Linked DNA regions of Struthio camelus. The protein of the gene in region 1 purifies or fractionates together with the protein of each later gene. This does not show direct contact. Links are inferred from orthologs where the notes say so. Each region holds a gene or a part of one and is shown on either strand. Other genes may lie near its edges.

What was found. The genes of interacting proteins can lie anywhere in the genome.
Region 2: the proteins of EIF3H (region 1) and EIF4G1 purify together in Homo sapiens (affinity purification with mass spectrometry; 4 studies listed by BioGRID). This does not show direct contact. The link is inferred for Struthio camelus from reciprocal best matches to the Homo sapiens genes EIF3H and EIF4G1.

Annotation. Positions count from the first base shown.
Region 1 is NC_090943.1:157,389,295-157,396,115, forward strand, and holds the start of EIF3H (eukaryotic translation initiation factor 3 subunit H), read right to left. Parts: upstream 3,016-6,821; 5' UTR 2,931-3,015; coding exon 2,811-2,930; intron 1-2,810.
Region 2 is NC_090950.1:22,673,518-22,680,703, reverse strand, and holds the start of EIF4G1 (eukaryotic translation initiation factor 4 gamma 1), read right to left. Parts: upstream 3,020-7,186; 5' UTR 2,894-3,019; intron 1,122-2,893; exon of another isoform or gene 1,061-1,121; intron 1-1,060. Other genes in the region: PSMD2 (26S proteasome non-ATPase regulatory subunit 2), read right to left, coding at 5,882-6,064, 6,147-6,265, 6,352-6,478, 6,648-6,742, 7,061-7,186.

The DNA of each region.
Region 1 (6,821 bases):
AAAAAAAATCCCTTGAAGTGTTCAGGATAACAAACATGGAGTAAAATACTTTAAAGCTCATCATGCAAACACATTAGCTAGTCATATTTACATATCATTTGAAAACTGAGATTTTGACTCTGCTGGCAGAAAAGCTGATGGAAAAGTATACAGATATATTCATTTTTCCTCTCCTTCCTGTGACTACAAAATATTTGTCAAACTGCAAAGGTGGGAAATCTATGTCCAGATTTAATCTCAGAAGCATTTTTATAAACAAGCCTTCAGGTACTTCATTCAAGATACTAAATGTCTACAACGCAAGATAATTCTCCCCAAACTTTTGGAAGTTTTGGTGCTGTAATTTCGTAGAGTACTCTAAAGAAGCATTAACAGTAAAAAAAGTTATGTGGAATTAGCTCATCTTACCAGTTAGGGTCTCATCGTTAGCTTTTTTCTAAAGCATTGCCATGACAGTGCTTTTTTTAAATTTATTCTCATGGAGTTAAACCTGAAGCGAAATTGCACTTGATCTAAATCCAAATTGCACCAATATGTAATAAAATAAGGAATTAAACAGATTCAAATAAGAAAGAAGTTAACAAAGTAGTGTGCTTGCATCAAATTTAAGAGGCTGCCAGTAAAGTATTGCTGCATCATCATTTATCTATTATGTTTTAAGCTAACACACTGACACTTAAAACTTTTCTCTTCATTACTAATATTATTGTCTTTTATTTTACTGTTCCTCTGATGTAACAGGCTTTCTAAAAGTCCTATTGCATTCCGACATATACAGAAGATTGATGCATCTCCATTTTATATATGCAGATTCAAAAAGTTACCTATAAAGTGTGTCTTTGCTTTCAAAATAGTTCCACTTGAAAGAATTAGTCATGCTCACCTACAAGTTTTAGCCTACAAGTCCTTGAAACAGCAACCATTTAAACTGTCTTTAATAAAGGCTAATACAATAACACTACCTACAGAAAAGAATCCCTACCATATGAAAAGAAGTAGTAGGACTGTACACTTTTACTCCGGAAGAAACCAAAACCATTGTTGACTCAGTCTTTAATGCACTAGCGACCATACACGTGACTGATCACATTAAGTACTGCAAAAACAATCTTTTATCACTGATGTGCTTGCATTTAGGAAAACAGTATTTCATATTTATATTTCAGATGCAACATTTGTGTTTCATTTACAGTAAAACTCAATAGACTTTCATTAAAAAGTATGAAGTTAAAGATTACTATTCATTTAATTATCACTGAACTAACACCAATTAAATCACAATGATGCTAGTTAACCACACTCATTCATTCTTCTGAAGAAAAAAGAAGTTAAAACTCAGATCTAGCAGCCAAACTGCCTCTTTTCTAGTTCTATTACTGTTTCATTATGTAGATGTAAATAAAGCCATCATTACGAGCCACTTCATCCATATGATAGGGGCAGACACTGCCTGTGTTATGGGATTGCTTGCAGCTTGTGGAAGAAGCGGGGTAGACATGTATAGCTCTAGCTGTACTAACGGTGCCGCCATGAGATGGAATGAAAAGACCACTGACTCCCACCAAATTCACCCCAAGTTTTGGCAAGTAATTACCCCGGTAACCATCAAGCCAAGACTAACAAAGATTCAATCACTTCATGAGAGCATAGGTAAGACCCTAAAAACAGGAAGGTATTAGAAAAGTTTAAGCAGAACTTCAGTAAGACATTTTGAGGACTTGACAGGAGTCACTTTGGTTACAAAGCAAGTAAATATATGCTGAGACTTCTCTTCTCGACAGGCACCACAGAAGTTTGTGAACCACGCAGTTAGTATCCTGACAGAGCTCTGTGTAAGATCCACCAGCACAAGTCTTTAGCAGGTGGACACAAAGCTAAAAGGGGGGGCCACTTTCTCCTCCACAGGCTCCATGTAAGAGACATCACCATGTATTAGAATAACACACAAGGACATGGAAAAAAACCACATAAAGGAAAAAGCGTTCACAAACATTTGCTAGACAGCGGTCCAACAGCAAACCTTTTGAGACTACAGACAGCTGACTTGAATGGGCAGTAGTTCACAAAGGGGATGACATATCTGATAGAGAACACAGCTTGGAAACTTCCGTTCTCTTTATTTCATTAATAAACGAACTAAAAAAAGAAAAGGTAAATCAACAGGCAGTATTAAACCCAGAACACATGGGGGGGGGGGGGGGGGGGGAGAAAACAGCTTTTACACCCACAGAAATAAGATTAAAGCTACCAACCTATGTCCTGAACTCAACAACTTATTTTCGCAAGCTTCCCTAAAACTTGTTTAAAAAGACACACACGTACCCCTATCCACCTCGCTATGGTCTGCTTACAGTTGCTGGCTACATCTCATGACTCATCAGTTTTCACTGCTCCTTGAAAAAATCCAGCCTGCTCCCCATATCTTATAATTACGTATCTTTCAATAGTCTGAGCTGTGAAACGTGAAAACAGAAACCAGGGATATTATGGCAGGAGAGTGGAGGAAAGAAAGAAAATATCGAAGAGCAATTAACACCCCTGCCTTCGCTTACACAAGGGACGGAGCCGCCCCCCTCCCCAGGGCGGAGCGCAAGGGGAGACCGGCCGGGCGTCAGGAAGCTGGGGAAGGGGGATGAAACCGCTCCTGCTGCTCGGGTGGCCCCGGCGACCCCGGCGCCAGGACGGGCCCGGGCCCCCGCTGGCTGCGCTGCGCTGCGCTGCGCTCCGGCCGGCACCGCCCCGCCGGCGGCCCCACGCGGGCCCGCCCGCCTCGCCCCTCCGCCAGCAACGGCCCCGGCCCCATCGCTCACCAGCCCGTCGATCTGCACTTGCTTGACGGCCGAGTCCCCCGTGGCGGCGGCCTTGCCTTTGCCTTTGGAGGCGCCGAAGCCGCTGCCGGCTGCCCCGGAGCCCTCCTTGCGAGACGCCATCTTTCCCCCCGCACCGGCCGGAAAGAGAAAAACGAAACACCGGAAGCGCCCAGGGAAAAGCGTCCGGGCGGAAACGCGCGGGCGGGGGCCAGGAAGCCGGGGGAGGAGGCGGTGGCGGCAGAGCGCATGCGCGCTGCGGCGCCGGGGGGCGGCGGCGGCGGAGCGGGGAGGTGGCGGCGGCTCGGCCGGGGAGGGGTGGCGGCCGCCGGCGCGGGGCGGTGCGCGGCCTCGGTGTTGCGCCGGGGCTCCCAGGGACGCGAGGGGGATCGGCTTGTGAGGGAAGATTTACAGCTAATAAACCAGCTTGAAATAAGGGGAGGAGAAGTTCCCAAGGAGGCAGGTGTGAAAGCTGAGGACGGGAGCCGGCGGGAACAGGGGGGTTGGGCGCAGTGCGGGTGTGTGCCTTGAGGCCTGCGCTGGGAGGGGGTGCGAGAGGGAAAGGCTAAACAGAAACAAAACCCCCTGAACCATGTCTCATGTTGTTCTCGAGAAAGGGTTTAAAGTGTTCTATGAAAAATCAACTGCTGGTTTTGCTTTGCTTCAAAAAAGATAGTATTCCAATCCCTACATCGTCTGCTGAAGAATGAAATTGTTTTTGAAAGGTGGGTAGATGTATCAAACGCCCCAGAGTCCTCCAGACCCTCTGCCAGGTATGTGTCTAAAAATTCACTCCAAGCTTTTCTAACAAGGTAGTTGACACTAATTTCTAACTGCGAGAGGGAGACGTTTGCCAATGCCAGTACCAAGATGTATCTGCATCTTCCCAGTGGGGACAGACCCAGCATGTTCCTGTTAGACATCCCTAATATCAGGATTGGAAGAAAATCAAGCAAAGAATCCAGTACATTGCTTGCACCCACCAGGCAAATCGTATCCTGAACACCACTGACTCCACTGACTGCATCTGCATCAGCTATAACAAGAGACCTGGATACTTTGCTTAGAAATGATAGATATCTAAAGTTAAGTAAGATGAATCCCAGTTAGATTTCCCATTGGGGAAAAAAAACTGTTAAGTGGAGATTGAGCTTAAAGTTCAGATTTGGAGTACCGTTGACGTCAAACGTGCCCAGTGCCCCAAGGAGAACGAGGTGTGCGTGCGCAGTGGCGTTAAGGCGTTGTTCTTCAAAATACGATCTGTAGAGAGGCTGATGCAATAACAACAAAGAGTTTCAAGGTAGTATACTGTGGCCAATGAACTCAGCTATCGTAAATTTGAGTCATACCCTTAGCAAGCTTCCATGACTGAATGCTGCACTCCCACTGGCACTGCCTTTTGAAGTTTTTCTAGAGAGTAAAGTTTCTTGATTTAATATCAGTATTTAACATTACTGTTATATGCACATGCATATCCAGATTTAATTTGCAAATATAATCAAATAGCTTTAATTAAAGAAAAATAAGGCTAGGAAACAGTATTATGGTAATACAGTGGTTTTCAACTCCAGTCCTGGAGATCTGTGGGCTACTTCAAAGATACTGGTGAACGGTACTTAAAAAGGAAAAACAGCCCTTCTATCACAATGCTTCACTACTGGCAAATTCTTAAGGATGTCAAAATTGAAGAGAGATGAAAAACTCTGGGTTAACTCAAATGTGATTCATTATTCCTGCCTATCGGTTCTTGAACAAAAAGTCTGTGTAATTAAAAAAAAAAAAGGGAGAGGGCAAGTAGCTGCAGCACAGAACATCAGCATGTTCAAAGAAGTTGCTGTGGGCACCCAAAATAGCCCTATTATAAAAACTGGCATAAGGTTCACATTACTTAATGCACTGCCAAAATAATTCAGTCAATTTGGTTAATTATGATTAACATGAAAAATGAGACACAAATATCAACTTTATGTAACTCATGAGATCACTGGAAGTGAAGAGAAATTTCAGCACTGAAAATACTGAATACTTGAAGAGAAGAACACAAAAAGGATGTCAAACTGGAAAATGTTAGTCACATTGCCTAAGCTACTCAGGAAAACCACAGAACAGAAGACTTCCATCCCAAAATAGTTTAGAGAATTCAAGCCATGCACAAACTCTATTAATCATTTTTAAATGATACTGTAAGTCAAAAGACGGAACAAAAAGAAACCTCCTTCTTCCTCACTCCTGCTTAAATAAAAACTTTGATATAACTCAGATGCATCATTTCTCTCTGCAGCGTTGCTGCAGCATATCAGTGCTATGAGCAGAACTAATGTTGCTAAATGGAAATTATCTGATCAAGCGTTCAAAGATGTAATCCCTTCCAAACTGTCAGACTAACTTTACCTTAAGGGCTAAACCAACTTGAATTTCTTCTGCATAGGCTGCAGGCTAAGAGTGTGCACATACATAGTTACCAGAGATCAGCTAACCTGCAACAACTTGTTACCACTTGGTAAATGGGTTGTGTCTGAATTCTGTGATTTTTCTCCCTGCCCTCAACAATTCCAAATATTTCTAAGCATAATGAATACCTTAATTTCATTATCACAAAGTATACAGGAGAGGAAAGAATCACCTAGGAAACACATATAGCAGTCTGTGCTTGTATTGAAGCACAACAACACCCCAAATACAAAGCTGCATTAATAACTACAATTGCCTATAACAACCTTCATTACCTACAAAAAGAAATTATGTCCATTAAAGCAGCCTCCGAAACTCAGTGGCAACAGATTCTCTGAACATAGAGTTAAAATTGCCTTGTAGTATCTTGCACACTTACAGAAGGGTCAAGTTAGAAAAGCTTAGTTTTCTGGAACAGATGAGGTATTCAGGCTCAAGAAAAACAAGCACTTGGCACATCTCCTTATGAGGGTAATACTGACCTTCTCCCATATGCGATTACATATAACATACCTACTCGGCCTTAGCAGGCAAGACAAAAAATAAAGTAAAAATCTCACATCTTTTCTGTGTAAAGAAAGGCTCGTATTTGAGAGCTGTAGTGAATATAAAGCTGTACTTAATCCCTACATTCAAATACAAAAATTATTCCACATAATTCTTCACATGCTAAACGACACAGGCTCTTTACTCCTTTTGAAATCCCTTTTTGACTCACAGGATGCCTTTCAATATTAGCCCCTCACTTATACACCCTTCTCATATCCCATAGGCAGACTGAAAACCTTTATGACAAGAAAGTCCCTCTGTGTCAATGGCAGCACCAGTTCCAGAAACCATGACCAAAGCGGGGCAGACAAGGTGTCTTAAACCATTTCATTCTATCCTCTGTTTACAAACAAAAGAGGTCAGAGGGAAGATGTAATAGGAACCCTCAGGTCTCTGCAGTAGTCACAATTTTTGCCAAGTACATTCATTAGTCCTGCCATTAACTACAGCTACATGAAACTCAGTAACAGCGATGAGCAGGCAATTTCAAATACTTACCGCAGCTTCAGGAATAAGAGTTGCGTATAAACCCTGTATAATCCAGGGTTTTCAGACATTTGTACTTTGCTGACCTTAGCACTTCTTTCTTTTCTAAAGGAAATAAAATATCCCCTGGTGTATCATCTCCATGCTGACCAAGGTTCTCACTGATAAATAAGGTAGCACTCTGCACTCACTTTGTTCAGGTATAAATCACTTCACCAGATGCAAGTCACTGACGGATCAGGCCCTTTGTATACTTACCTCTACAGGATCTACCATGTTCTGTTTCACTGAGAAATATAATCCTCTAAGGCGTCAGATATTCATCCAGAGCTTCTTTACCACTTCCCGCATATTAGTTTAATGTGAAAATTGAAGATCAGGTTATATAATTGCATTGGCATTTTGTGCCAAAGAGTTTTTAAGCACTAGTATTTGTCATGAGGCTAACTGTGATTTTAGAAGTTATTGGTGCCTATACTGAGGCCCATTCCACATTTTTTTCTAATTTCCATCAAAAGAATCAAAGTG
Region 2 (7,186 bases), on another chromosome or scaffold:
GCCCAGGGGGGCCCACGGCCCCCCCCAGGGGCTGGCACTGCCACCCTGGCTGCCAGCACCCACGTGCCAGGGGAGCCCAGGCACCCTCCGGGCTCTCCCCTCGGGCCACGGCCCTGACAAACCCCAGCCAGATCCCAGGCGGGACTTGGCACCCGGTGCCGCTCTCCCTGCCCCAGTGCAAAGGCTGCCTGGGCAGGAAGGAGCAGAGGTGCCCCCCGCTCCGGGAGGTGCCCCCTTCACCCCCACGGCGGTTCGGAGCACCGGCCACGGCCAGGGCAAGCTCGCTCCCCGGCCGGACCACCCGAAGGAGCAGCCCGTCGTGCCTGCCTGTAACCTGACGCCCGGCCGCGTCAGCGCTCGCAGCCCTGCCGGCCCCCCAGCGCCGCAGGCAGGCTGCGGCTGGGGCGCGGGGCACCCCCCGGCCCCCCCGCAGGGCAGCGCCGGGCACATCCCACCAACGCTACTGCCCCGGCGCCTGCCAGCACCCTCAGGCCATGGGGTGCCCCATCCCCTGCACCCCCAGGGCCACGTCCCCAGCACGGGGGGGGGGGGGGGGGGGGACACAGAGCCTGCACGGCCTTTGGGGGACCCCAGACACCAACACCGCCAGCCTCAAGCCCAGGCAGGGATCAGTCCCGCTCCGATTTCAGGCCTCAGAGAAGGCTGCACCCTAGCGCTCGCCCTGTCCCCTGGCTCCCGGGGGCGCTGAGTGCCAGGCATGGGCCCCAGGAACCCGCGCTGGCACCCCACCGCCCAGCGCGCCCGCCGCGCGTGCCCAGACGCCCCTGCCCTGCCCTGGGAAGCGGCAGCGTGGGCCATTTTAAAAAGACAGCTTGGTGCTGGCACAAGTTACTTGGAAAAGGAAAGGGGAGGGGGGTTAAAAAAAACACGGAAGGGAAGGGAGCGGGGAACTCCTGGGGACAGCCACGCTTCCAGGACACTGCCATGCTCCCAAAACCGCACCGCTCTCCCCGCCACAAGTCTCGGCGCAGACAGGCGGCAAACCCAGCTTCCCCGGCCCCCCAGCACAGGCACAACCGGCAGAGAACTAGATACTCACCCCCCCGCGGGAAAAACCTGGGCCGACTGAGCGGGCCTGCAGAGACCTTTCATCCGACTGACTTGGAGAGAAAGGAGGAAAGAGAGAAGGGGGGAGAGAGAGAGAGGGAGAAAAGGGAAAGAGGGTGGGAGGGGGAGAGAAAAGTCAGCCTGCAAACCTGCCGGCGCTGGGAGAGGACAGCCCCGCGGCGCAGACATGGGGGACGCCGGGGCCCGGCCGGGAGCACGAGGCCGCCGGGGCTGGGTTGGGCTGGGCTGGGATGGCCGGGCGTGCTGCAGTGCAGAGCCGCCGAGCCCCGGAGCACCCGAAACCCCACCCACAGGCACGCCGGGCGCCAGGCCCCGCGCCCCGAGCCACCCTGGCGCGCGTGCCGCCAGACCCCCCCGCCGGCCCCCTCCTCGCACCGGGGAAACCTCCCCGGCCGGACGTGCACAAATAAAACATCCGGGAAGTCCCGGTGTGGCGGTGGCCCGTCAACGGGACGGATCTCCGCCGGGAGGGGAAGGGGAGCAGCCGCGGGTGGCGGGGGGTCGCAACGGGAGGGAGCTGCTGGCTCGGGCCGCCGTGCCCGCCGAGCGCTGCGAGACGCCCCTTTTCGTGGCCTCGGAGCGGCCGGAGCCCCCGGCGGGGCAGGAGGGGCCTGCTCCACCCACCGCCCCGCCAGGCGTCCCCGGGGCTGGCGGCCGACCGACCCGACCCGCCGGCCCGAGACCGTCGGGGCCGCGAGCGAGCGAGGCCGGGGCAGGCGCCGCCTGGGGCGTTTGGGGACGGGAACGGGGCGAAGCCCCCGCGCCGCCCCAGGCAGCCCCCGCGGACGCCCCGCCAGGCAGCGGCCTCTCCGGGGCCACGGGCCGGAGCCCGGCCCAAAGGGGCCGAGACCGCACTCCGGTGCCAGCTCCGACCGGGCCGCTCCGGAGGCGCCGCCCGTCGGTCGGTCCGTCCGCGGGCTCCCCTCCGGCAGGCCGGGGCAGGGGGCGGTTCGCCCGCCCGCCCGCGGTTTGACGACAGTGCCCGGGGCAGGACGGGCCGCGGCGGCCGGCGGCTGACGCAGCCCCCGGACCGGCCCCGCCGGCGCCTCCGGGGAGCCGCGATGCCGCCTCGCCGGCGGGGCCGCCCGACCCCGCTGCCGCCCCGCCGGGCCGGGCCGGGCGGCACCATCCCCGCGGGAGGGCGGCGAGGCCGCCGTGACACCGGCCCCGGGAGGCCCCGCGGCGCGGGCAGGGCCCCGGCCGGGCCGCCGGCAGCCGCGCCGCTGGGGGCCGGCCCCGGCACCGGGGCGCGGCTGGGGGGGAAAGAGGCCTCGGCGGCGGCCCCGCCGGCAGCGGGCCCGGCGGCCCCCGGAGCGGCGCGGCGGCCGGGCCCGGTGCCGCATCCGGCCGGGCCCGCTCCCCCCCGCGGCGGCGGCGGCCTCTGCCAAGGACACGTGTCACTGCCGGCCGCCGCCATGGCGCGCCGGGAAGCACCGGCAGCGCGGGCCGACGGGGCGGCGGCGGGGCCCGGCGAGCGCGCACCACGTGGGGCGGCGGCAGCGGGGCCTAAGCGGGGCGCGGCGGCGGGAGCACGTGCGCAGGCGGCGGCGGGCGGCGGCGGGGCCGGCACGTGGGCGCGGAGCGGCGGCGCCCGGGCGGGCCGGGCCGGGCCGGGCCGGGGGCGCCGGGTGGGGGAGGGGCGGGGGCCGGCGGCGGGGCGGCGCCCACGTGGTGGCGGCGGCGGCGGCGGGGCCCGGCGGCGCGCGGAGCGGCGCGGCGCGGCGGGGCCCGGCGGAGGCGGCCGGTGCCGGTGCCCCCCCGCCTCCCCCCCCCCGGCGCGGCGCCCCGCCCCCCGCCCGGTTACCTTCAGTCTCCTTCAGCGCGCGCGGCCCGACGCAGCCGCAGCGCAGCGCAGCACGACCATTTCCGGAGCCGCGCCGCGCGCAGGGGCGGGGCCACGCGCCGCCGCCGCGGGGGGAGGGGCGGGAGGCGGCCGCCGCTGCCGCCGCCTGAAGCCTGTCTGGGCGCCGCCCCGCCGCACGTGACGCCGGCGCGCCGGGCCCGCTCCCCCCCGCCCCCTCGCCCCGTCACGTGACGGGGCGGGGCCGGGTACGCGCCCCGCCCTCGCCGCCGCGGCGGGGCCCGCGTGGGACCGCCCCTTCCCGCCGTAAACCACGCCCGCCGCCGTGGCCACGCCCGCCGCCCCGGTCCCCCGTGCGGCAGCACGTGGCGGCGCCGCCGCGGCACCCGGCACCCACGCGGCACTGCACCCGGCCCCCCCGCGGGACACCCCATCCGGCACCGACCCGGCACCCACGCGGCCCCCCTTGGACACCACGCCCGGCACCGACCCGGCACCGACCCGGCACCGACCGGCCTCCGCGGGACATCCCACCCTGCACCCACGCGGCCCCCCGTAGGACACCCCACCGGGCACCGCACCCGTTATCGCACGCCTCCGCGGGACATCCCATCCGGCCCCTGCGGGACACCGCTCCCGGCACCCACGCGGCACCGCACCCAGCCTCCGCAGGACACCCCACCGGGCACCCATGCGGCACCCACCCAGTCCCCGTGGGACACCATACCTGGCACCCACCCGTCATCATCCTGGCCCCCTGTGGGACACCGCACCCAGCACCGACTCGGCCCCTTACAGGACACCCCACTCGGCACCCACCGGGATCCAGCACCCACCCAGCATCAACCCAGCATTCCCCCGGCACGCTGTGGGACACAGCACCCACCCAACACTTCTCCGGTTGCAGCACCCCGTGGGACATGGCACCCAGCACCCCTCCTGTGCCCTCCGTTCCCCTGTTCCCATCCTGCAGCCACCCTGCACCCCTCAGGACAGGACGTCCTGTCTGCACCCTGCACCCATCCTGCATCCAGAAACAGCGTCCTGCACTCACCCTGCACCCCCTGGAGAGAGCACCCAGACTGCATCCATCCCTGGGACGCTGCAGCCAGCACCAACCCTGCACCCCGCAGGCTAGGGCCCAGCACCCTGCACGTACCCACCAACCAGCTTTCCAGCCAACCTCCCCCCGTGCCCACCCTGCACCCACCTACCACCCCGGCGCTGCACAGCACTGCACCCACCACCCTACACCCACCCTCGTGCCTGGGACATCGCACCCAGCACTCCTGCAGCTGGCACCCATCCTGCACCCACCACCCTAACCCTCTGGGGTGGGACACAGCACCCCCACACCCTGCACCTGGGACATGGGACACAATACCCTGTGCCCACCCCTGGGGCCCAGTGCCAGCACCCAACCCTGCACCCCTCAGGCCTCACACGAAGCCCAGCACACCATACCCAACCTCTCTGCACCCTCGCGCCGGCCCCACAGGATCCCAGGCCCCAGCAGGGTGCCGAGCACCCTCCAGGCCTGGCCTCACTCCTGCTGCCCTGCGTGGGGCACAGCAGCAGGTCTGCGGGTGACGAGGCCCCCACCCCTCCTCGGGGAGGGTGGCGGGTGCCCCCGGGGTTGGGACCTGAGCCAAGGGAGGACAGAAGGATGCTGACACGCAGCAGCACAAAGCCAGGCCCTGGCTAGAGATGTCCCCAGGATCCAGCCACACTGTCCCCAGAGGCTGACGCAGGGCTGGGACGCTGGGGCAGTGCCAGGCACCTGCAGGGGACAGCCAGCAGGTCCCCTTTGTCCCCTTGAGCACCAGCAGTCCCAGGCACCCAGGCCATAGCCCCCACTCTGCGAAGAGGCCCAGCTGAGCTGCGGGACCCCCAGGCATCGGGGAAGCGCGCAGCTCGCCAGGCAGCAGGACAGGGCACCCTGCTTGGTGTGGCAGGGTGGTGGTACCAGTATTTTGAGAAACAGCTTAGGGTTTTCCTCTCTTTCTTAAGAAACTCCCCCCACCCCATCTCCTTCAGCTTGCCCCAAGAGTTATTTGAACCCTGATCCTGGTCCCACGAGGGCTCCAAAGGAATTGCACTCCTACGAGCTGCACCGAAAGCCGGCAACAGCCCAGCGCACCCCAGGGAGCAGTTGAGCCCCACTATCAGCCAGCAGAGACTCCACATGACGAGAGGCCCAGCTCAGGACAGGCAGTGCCAGACACCCACCTCACCACGGGACAGGGAGTCTGTGCTGACGCAGGCGCGGGGGGGAAGGGAAGTTGCACAACGCCGGCGTGGGTGCCACGCAGGCACGCCCTGCCGCACCGGCCACACGCGCCCAGGGCACCGTGCAGGCACGGACACACACAGGGCAAGGAGAAACAGGAGCCGGAACAAGGCCACGGCCTAACAAGGCCGAGACCCACACCAGTCTGGGAACTTGCACGCCTGCAGCCCCCCGTGGGGGCAGGGCGAGCTCACAGGGGCTCTCTGCCTTCACCTCCTGCCTCTTGGGGCCTGCACTGCACCCAGCCTCTGAGAGCATCAGCTACCCAAGGGCCCAGCAGAACCCGGGGAGCTGCCCATCACTGTCCATCCTGGCAGAAGCAGCAGAGAAAGGGTAACTTTAAGGGGGTCCGAACCTGCTCCAGCGCCACAGTGTCCCTCTAAGGGAGACTTGGCTAGGGCTCCGTGGAAAGGAGCCTATTCTTCCCTGCTCCGGCTGGGGGAAGATCTTGGCCTGCATCAGCTCAGGGCTCCAGGCTTAACATGGACATGGCCTCACTGCAGTGTACCCAGTCTGGCCAGGGCAGAGGGGATGAGAGCCCATCCTGTGCCTCCTGTGCAGGGACAGCATGGCAGCACCAGAGTCTCCGCATAGTTTATTTCCTCAAATCACAGTAACAAACAAATCACCTTCTCCCCCCCCCCCACCCCAACCACCTGCCCCGCGTCCTGTCCCCCACCCTATCCCCATTCCCCGGTAGCTCAAACATCGTAGTTGGGGTTCTTGCGTAGGATGACGAATCCCTCCAGGATGGGTGTCACGGGCACGTGCTCCTCTGTGGCCAGCTCTGCCCGCTCTCCATGTGCCAGCAGCACTGGTGTTGTGTGAGTCTGGAAGCCAGTAATGGTTTTTGGCTTTCCTGCCTGGCCCACCACATCCACAGCCTGCAAGAGAGGAGCGAGATGAAGGCCAAGAACACACAGGGACCCCCAAGCACCCTGTCCCAGGCTCTGGCTGCCCCCTTACCTGTCCTACCCGAACCGATACAGGTAGAGGTCGCAGCTCCTCGTCAAAGGTGACCAGCATGCGGGGCTGCATGGCAGCAACGAGCCCATAGAGAACGTAGTGGGACTTGCCCAGGATAACTGGAAGGAAGACGTAAGGGTCAGGGCAGAGCCCATCCCACGGAGCAGAGGGGTGGCAGGAAGGGGGGCGGCCCCACAGTACTCACTGTTGCGCACGTCCAGGAAGGACACAAGGACAGTCAGCAGCCCAGCCACAGCCACCTGGCTCATGAGCTGGCGATCGCTGTGGTAGGGGCACAGGGTGAGCGTCCCCTTGCCCAGGTGGGTCAGCCCCTGATGGGGTAGAGAAAGCATGAGAGAGAGCTGTTAGGCAGCGCCTGGGACCCCCCAGACCTGCCAGCCAAGGGGGTGACAGCCCAGGGACAGCACTCCCCTCCAACGCACAGGACAGCCACCCCAACCTCCCCTTCCCCTCCACAAGCAGCAAGTGTGGGATTTTCACCTGGGCCAGCCGCACCATGAAGAGGTTGTTGGGGTCTTTGGCGTGGTACTGGGCAAGCTGCCGCAGCATTGCTGCTAGCCGGGCATTGTTGGTACCTGGAGAAGAGGAGGTGCAGATAGAGATCAGGGAACACAGCCACCACGGCCCTAGTTTTCCGCTTTCCCCTCCTCAGGGTGCAGGGCATCCAGCCACAAACCCTGGGACAGGCAAACACGCAGCTTCCAGCAAGCCCAGTTCCCTCCACCCGAAAGGCCTCGTCCAGCCCTCTGATCAGCAAAGTACCTGGGCAGCATTCCCAGCTAGTGCTGACAGACTAGCGCGAGAGCCAGAGGAATGGTGGCTGCCCTTCCCCCTGCTGTGAGCACACAGACACCCCAAGCAGGGGTCGCAGGCAAGCTTCCCCCCAGGCTTACCACTGCCCACCATGCCCATGGCAAAGATGGAGTTGTAGGAGACCTCAGGGTCAGCATCGTGGGAGAACTTGCTGAGGGTGTCGAGGATGTTGAGCCGGGGGTTGGAGACCGAGATAAGCGCCAGGG